Elephas maximus indicus: one gene and its partner. The protein of the gene in region 2 purifies or fractionates together with the protein of the main gene of each other region. This does not show direct contact. Links are inferred from orthologs where the notes say so. Each region holds a gene or a part of one and is shown on either strand. Other genes may lie near its edges.

Region 1 (3,744 bases), on a different chromosome or scaffold from region 2:
CGAACTCTAGTTAAATACACCAATGTTTAGAAGTGAAGCAGACTAATGTCTTCAATTTTTTTTTTAACCGAACTCCAAAACAAACCCATTGCTGTCAAGTTGATACTGACTCATAGAGACCCACAGGACAGAGCAAAACTGTCCCCCTAGAGTTTACAGAAGCCGACTGCCACATCTTTCTCCCTTGGAGAAGCTGGTATGTTCCAACTGCTCACCTTTCAGTTAGCAGCTGAGTGCCTAACCACTGCGCCATCAGGGCTCCTCTATAAAGATTACAGCTTCGGAAACCCTATTGGGGCAGCTTTACTTTTGTGATACAGGGTCACTATGAGTCGACTGACTCGATGGCACTAACAACTGTGATAAATCTTATGGGGGGAAAACAGGGTAAGGGGACAGAGAGAGGCAGGAAGACACGTTGGAGAGTGCCTGGTAACCAGTGAGGATTCATAATATATTTGTTAAACAAAAACTTCATGACATAAAAAGTGGTGAATTAATTTTTTATGTGTTCAGGGAAATAGTCTAGCTATCCTCAAAAGAACCCATGAGGTATCCACAGGAGGAAAATGAGGCACAGAGAACTGACACATGAGTCACCAATATAGAGATGGAAACTGCAATGGAAATCACCTCGCTCACAGCCCCTCGAAAATGGTCATTTACGTAGGGAGGCCAGAGCTGAGTGCACTGACCTATGACGTCACTGGGACGCTGACACCTCCTACACCTGGACGTAGCCCCATTTCCCTTCTCGAGCGGGTCCTCCGGTAGTAGGGCAGGATCTGGAGCAAGGCTCTCATTGGTAATTCGCTCCGTCAATCCGTTTCACTCCTCCAGTCTTCCGCTCCGCCTTCCTGACCTCGCCTCTGATAGGCTAGTGCGGCCATCACTTCAGAAAGGTCCGCATTCCTTCCGCCTTTCTCCAGGAGACAGAAGGCTAAGGGGGCGGGCTCCAGACGGCGCCCACCCCGGAGGCTCTGCTTCCGCCTCTGATTGGCTTTGTCGGGTGCCAGTTGCTCGGCCGCCCGTCGCTGATTGGCCACTCGACCGCCGCTCTGTGCCACTCCGGCTCCGCCCCCGCTGGGTGTTTGTGGTGGGGCTGCGGAGTCGCCGATCCCGCCGGAAGCGCCAGGACAATGGGGACCCGGGACGACGAGTACGACTACCTATTCAAAGGTGCGGTCGGTGGGACACCGACAGGCGAGGGCGCGGCAACGAGGCGGCGGGCAGACGAGTCGAGGCTGCGCTCCGGGCCGTTGGGCCCAGGCCGGAGCTCGGGACCTGGGACCCGTCAGGTCCAGCAGCGAGGAAGGCCGGGCAGACTGGGTTCCGTTAGCTCCAGGCCGGAGTGCGCGGCTGCGAGCAACCGGCGGCCCTGGGAGGCCTGGGGACCCGGGATGCGCCGGGGCGGGGTCGGGGCCCAGAGGGGGTGGGGCCCGGAGCGGTGGGAGAGGCCGTTGGGGTGGGGCCTTCGGAGGGGGCGGGGCCGCCCGGGATTTGGCGGGCCGGGCTGGGCTGGATGGATGACAGAGGGTGGGCCTTCGGGGCGGGGCCAATACATGGTGGGCGTGTCTGAGATGTGGACTGGTTCTGAGCTCAGGGGGCGGGACTCTGGGGTGGGCTGGGCCAGGCCTGTTGGGGGCGGGGCTCGCGAGGGGTGGGGCGGATAATAAGGGGTGTGCCGTCGTGGGGGTCCGAGGTGAGGTACGTAGTGGGGCGACCCTGGACTGGGGTGCACATCCTGAATGGGGCGGAGGAGCGCCTGTGTCTGCACCTGGACCTGGTGAAGAACAGAACTAATGATACTAGATGCTTGATAGCACTCACCAAGTATCTTGTCTTTTCTAAGCAGTTTGCACACAGAAATTTATTCAAATCCTCTCCACAATCCTATAAGGTCGTTATGACTCCAGCTCTTTTTTCACAGATTAGGAAACTGAGACCCAGAGAGACAAGGACAGCTAGTAAGTATTAGAGGCAGTTTTGAACCCTAACCTAGGGAGTGTGTTTGAAGGGCCTTGGCACCAGGACTGGGACTCAGGGCTGTTAGACCACCTCCCAACACATGCAGGCTGATGGCACCAGCATTGGCCAACCTTCTGGGGATCTTCCCTGCCCAAGGAGCACCAAGTATGGCCTACGCGGTTCTAGCCAGCCATTGCTTGCTGGGACCAGCTGAGGAGCTCCTTCATCCTGCCCCTGGAGCTGAGGAGACTCCCTCCCTGTCACTGGAGACTCTGTGCTGTTTTAGGGGTCATTGGCTTTGCAGGAGTCCCTGGTGGTACAAACCATTAAGTGCTTGACTGTTAAGCAAAGAGTTGGTGATTTGAACCCACTCGGAGACACCTTGGAAGAAAGGCCTGGCGATCGGCTTCCAAAAGGTCACAGCCTTGGAGCACAGTTCTACTCTGATTCCACTCTGACACACATGGGTTTGCCATGAGTCTGAATTGACTCCACAGGCACTGGTTTGGTTTTTGGCTTTTGGTTTTGCAGCGGTTTGCATGCAAAGCTGAGCAGTGACCAGGTGCTCTCCTGGGCTCCCTGGCTGACAGTGATCACCCTAGAGAGCTGCTGACTGCCTGCTGCCTGCTGTGTGAGGATTTGCCTCCCATGTCAGCTGAGGGCATCTTGCTCCCAATGGGGTCCGTGTCCAGAGCAGGCCTTGCCACCTCTTGTGTCTGTGGTATCATCTGTCATCTTGAGGCCAGGCCTGGGGTCCTTGAGATGAGAAGAGTGGGGTGCAGGTCTCCTTGCCTGGGGTATCCATGCAGCAAAAAGCTTCCAGGCAGAGAGAGCCCCTGTGCAAAGGCCCAGCAGCATCACAGCCCCATGGGCTTGGGACCTGCCAGCAGGCTGATGCATTGCTGGCAGACACAGCTGTCTGTTCAGTGAGGCCTGAATGTTGGGACCTTACCCTAAAGCTGGGGGGTGCTTTGGAGGGACCCTCTGGGGACGAGTGACCAGCCTCCAGTCCTGTCACACTGGTCCAATCTGCACTCAGCCTACACAGAGGCAGCTACTCTGTAGATCCCTGCTGGGCACCCGCCCTCTGTGGCCCCGCCAGAGCAGCGGGACTTTTCCAGGTCCCTGTGTCAGCTTGCGGTGTATTGGGTACTGATTATTCTCGACCTTTCATTGTTATAAATAACCCGGTACTGAGGATTTGTGCAAGCCATCGTCTTTTGCCCTTTGGGCTCTTTCCTTGAAGTGTGTTCCCAGAAGTAGTTACTGGGTCAGGGGCAACAAAGCGGCCATGCAGTTCCCAGGATGAATCCCCAGAGTCCGCTTCCTGGAAACGCCAGTGTGACTTCGGCAGCAGCTGGCGCGGGGGGTGGCGGGGCGGGGGGGGTGGGGGGTCGGGGGGGCCCTCCTGCCTGCCTTGCTGCCTTCCCCCCCACTGGCCTCCTTTCATGAGCAGGTGCCCTGCTGACCTTCTTGAGGTGGTTTGGTAGTGGATGTCCAGCCCACAAGATCAGCATTTCCCGGACTATGGACGTAGGAGGTGTCACCTTAACCTTACTATGTGCCTCCATCCTAGGACCATCTACTGTCGTTGAATATTTTTCTTTAAGTTCCCTCATTTTGTCACTCAGGTAAATTTTTTGGGAAAGGAAGCTCTCTGTGACCTTGGACCATGGTGACGCCATGTGTGCAAAGTAGAACTGCTCCATAGAGTTTTCCAGGTCGTGACTTTTCAGAAGCAGACCGCCAGGCCTGTCTTCTGAAGCTCCTCTGGGT
Region 2 (3,744 bases):
AGTCCTTTGCAGTTATTAAAAACCATCAACTAAGCACCATCTCCCTGATAGTCATACAGTAACTTCAGCGGTAATCAGCTCATAAAATAAGAGTAGCCATCAAAGATTACACTGAAGAGGATGAGAAAAGTGAAGGTGCAGAGACTGAACTCTTCCTGAAAAAGGGAGCTTACAAAGGTTTTCATTCCTCACAAACCAGTTACAGAATCTTTTGAATCTATACACTGGTCCCTTTAATCCAGGAAGCCAGAAACGTCTTACAAACATCAATTAGGGCTGGCAACAAGCTTCCTTTATAAATAGGAAAACTCGGGTGTTTAAGAGACCAAGCAGCCTGAAGCCCAACAATTAGTCAGGACCAAAGCTGGCACCAGACCCAGGAATCTGGAATCCCCATCTCTGGCCGGGAGATGAGATTCATCTTTCAAGGGGATAAAATGTTCACAGAAGAAACAGATAGCTGTGATGAAAGTTAATATCCACACATCCTGGGGCAGGACAAGATAAAGGATGGTCAACAGCACCCAGATGAAGTTGAAAAGGATGCCAACTTATCATTCCAAACGTCATTTAATCAGATGGAAAATTAGCATTGCTTCAGCCCCTCTTGAACGATGACACTGCTCACTTTGTGGCTTGTAATTTGATGCCAAGAGATACCCCATCCATCTTCACATCAAGGCTCTCTACTTTTTATCTGCTTTGAGTTCAGAAGTCTTTTCATCTTTGGCCAGATAAATGAATCAGGTATTGCATTTGCAAACATGCATGCTCAAACTGGACTCACCCTATAGAACAGGGAGCCTGGTAACTTCAAATCCTCTAGCTTTTCCTATCTCCCTTACAAGGGAAAGTTAAAATATTAGGTGTATACAAGACACACAAACTGAATCAGTGTACTTCATAAACTGTAGAATTTAGGTGGTGACCTGATTGGCTTGTATATTTAAGGTCCAAGAAAGTGTCCCAACTAAAATCAGCAAGGCCAGCTTTTGGTATACCAAAAAAAAAGAAGAAGAAGAAAAAAACCAAACCCAGTGCCTTTGAGTAGATTCCAACTCATAATGACCCTATAGGACAGAGTAGAACTAACCCATAGAGTCTCCAAGGAGTGGCTGGTGGTTTCCAACTGCTGACCTTTTGGTCAGCAGCCAAACTCTTAACCACTGCGCCACCAGGGTTCCTTTGGTATACTAACTAGATGAGAATAATTATTGAGTGTTCCATTGGGTTAAGCATTGCCCTTTCCAAGCACCTGTGAAAGAGAACAAATAAATTGGTAACACACTGGAGTGAACTGGGTTTTGACCAGCTTTCTGTGTGGGAAACAGATACCCTGACACAGAACCCTTGATGGGGGAGATACAGATGAGCAGCCATCCATTAGGATTAAGATCACAGAGGGGAGCTTGACAAACTCCAAAGAGAAACAATGCCGGCTTCCCAGTTCCACTTGGCCAAGGGGTGACCCTGGCTCCAGCCATCACTGGGAAATTTTTAGTAATATGAGGCCCAGGGTAAACAGGGTTAATATTTTTCAGCCTAAAAGGAAAGACTAAACTCTTCTAGCATTCTCCCTGGGCCTCAGGCATTACCGCGCCGGGTGGGCAGTGGGTTAGCTCTCACTGGGCAGCCTGCATTCCCCGTGTCCCACCCCCACCCATCCGTACTGTAATGCCTCTACTCTGCCCCAGGGCGTCAGTGAGTCTCAATTCTCCAGTTAATCCCCACCGCCCTGGCCCATCCCTTAACTCCGAGTGCCCAGGCCAGTGAAATACCCAGGAGACTTTCTACATAAATTAATAATCGTATCACATATCCACACGACCCACATAAGGAGGAATTCGCCTGACCTACATACATTTTCGATTCATCAAAAAGTCATTAAGAGCTTACTATGAATGTGCCAGGGGCTGAGCAGCCTCCTGCAGATTTAAAATTCCCCCAGGTGCCGCCCCTACTTTCAAGGAGCTCAAATACAGGGAAAGCTAGGGCGCACAGCCGAAGAAGTGAAGCCGGGTGAGAGTAGGAGTATTGGTAGAGAGGGTCCCTCTCGAAGAGCTTCTCTTCGTCCGTGCCCTTGAAACACGCACCGTGACTGTCGCGCTCACTCTAAAAGGGTCTCAGCGTCGAGGCCGCATGTTTCTCCTCCCTCCCACCCCGTGTCCCACTGCCCCAGGGGCCCGCGCCTTCCTCCGCTGCCTCTCCCCTCCCCCGGCCCGCACTCACTGGGTCTTCCTGCGGCCCTGGTCCCGGTGCAGCTCCCGCAGGTCCACCTCGGCGCGGCCCAGGAACTTGTCGAGGCCGAGCAGCGCGCGGTGCAGCACGGTGAGCTGCAGGGTGGAGGCGGCCGCGGGGGCCGCCCCGGAGGACAGCAGCGGCGGCAGCTCGAAGGTGGCTTCCTCCCGCCACACGGGCGCGCCCAGGGTGCGCTCGGACACCGAGGTGGCGTACTTCTCCTTGCCCACCTGGATCACCGCGTACGCGTCGCTCGTGCCCCCGGGGCCCTTGGACCGCAGGCCCCGTGCCTGCAATACCGTCACCTGCACGTGGGTTGGGGACCACAAGGACCCCGCGCCCCGGTCCGCCGAGGCCGCCAGGGACATGGTGACGGCGGCACAGTCCGCTCGGACGTGAGACGATCACCGCGACCCGCCGCCTCAACGGCCCGCCCTGCCGCCCCGGCAACTTTAAGGCTTCCGGCCACGCCCCCGCCAGGGCCCTCCTCTCCCGGCCACGCCCCCGCCAGGGCCCTCCTCCCCGGCCACGCCCCCGCCAGGGCCCTCCTCCCCGGCCACGCCCCCGCCAGGGCCCTCCTCCCCGGCCACGCCCCCGCCACGGCCCTCCTCTCCCGGCCACGCCCCCGCCTGGGCCCTCCACTCCCGGCCACGCCCCCGCCAGGGCCTTCTTCCCCAGCCACGCCCCCGCCAGGGCCCTCCTCTCCCGGCCACGCCCCCGCCAGGGCCCTCCTCCCCGGCCACGCCCCCGCCCCTTCCCGCCCCACCTGCCCGCGCCCCAGCCCCGCCTCCGCCGTCCGGGGTGCTTGGGGCGGAGCTGGTGCGGCTGGGGCAGAGCGAGGACAGGACGTGGAAGGCGCCCGGGGTTCGAGAATTCGGATCTGAGAGGCGGTGGGTGAGCGATGGGGTCGCAAGCTCCGCTGACTTAGTAGTCAGACCTCATTTCCAGTCTTTACATAGCCATTTGGTAGGTGTGTGACCATGCGCAGATTAATTAGCGACTTTAAGTCTCAGCTTCTTCGTTTGTACAATGAGGTAACGATCGCTGCATTGAACTGTGGAGGAAAAAATAATGCATTACCGTTCTCAGCACAGTGCCTGGCCCACTGTGAGCTCTCTATAAACTCACTGCTCTTTGCCACTTCTGCACGCCTCGAACATTGCTCAGGAGGAAGATAGGCGCCGGGTGGATGGGGAAGGAAAAGGCTTATTTCTGGGCCTGAAAAGGGAAAAGTAAAAAGCCACCACCCTGCAGTGTGGTCGGTGTAGGCGTGTCCTATTTTGCCCTGCTCTCACCGAATGAGGTGAAGCTAAATTAGGCGAAGGAAAGACAGGATGAACCGAAACAGGATTGCCAAACCAGTCATCAGGGCGAGGGGCTGTCCCCAAGGTTCCCCATTTCTCCCTCACTGGGGCCCTTGGGTGGGGCCCTCTTAGTCTCTCCTTCCTCTTTGTCTCTGGGCTCCAGGTGAGACACGTCCTTGTTCTAAAATGTCCATTAGACCGG

The links. The genes of interacting proteins can lie anywhere in the genome.
Region 1: the proteins of RAB11FIP1 (region 2) and RAB11B purify together in Homo sapiens (affinity purification with mass spectrometry; 3 studies listed by BioGRID and IntAct, counting the BioPlex papers as one, with this or other methods). This does not show direct contact. The link is inferred for Elephas maximus indicus from reciprocal best matches to the Homo sapiens genes RAB11FIP1 and RAB11B.

What each region holds. Positions count from the first base shown.
Region 1 is NC_064821.1:13,114,601-13,118,344, forward strand, and holds the start of RAB11B (ras-related protein Rab-11B), read left to right. Parts: upstream 1-1,068; 5' UTR 1,069-1,139; coding exon 1,140-1,179; intron 1,180-3,744. UniProt on the Homo sapiens protein: The small GTPases Rab are key regulators of intracellular membrane trafficking, from the formation of transport vesicles to their fusion with membranes.
Region 2 is NC_064840.1:62,789,000-62,792,743, reverse strand, and holds the start of RAB11FIP1 (rab11 family-interacting protein 1), read right to left. Parts: upstream 2,680-3,744; 5' UTR 2,607-2,679; coding exon 2,230-2,606; intron 1-2,229. UniProt on the Homo sapiens protein: A Rab11 effector protein involved in the endosomal recycling process. Also involved in controlling membrane trafficking along the phagocytic pathway and in phagocytosis. Interaction with RAB14 may function in the process of neurite formation.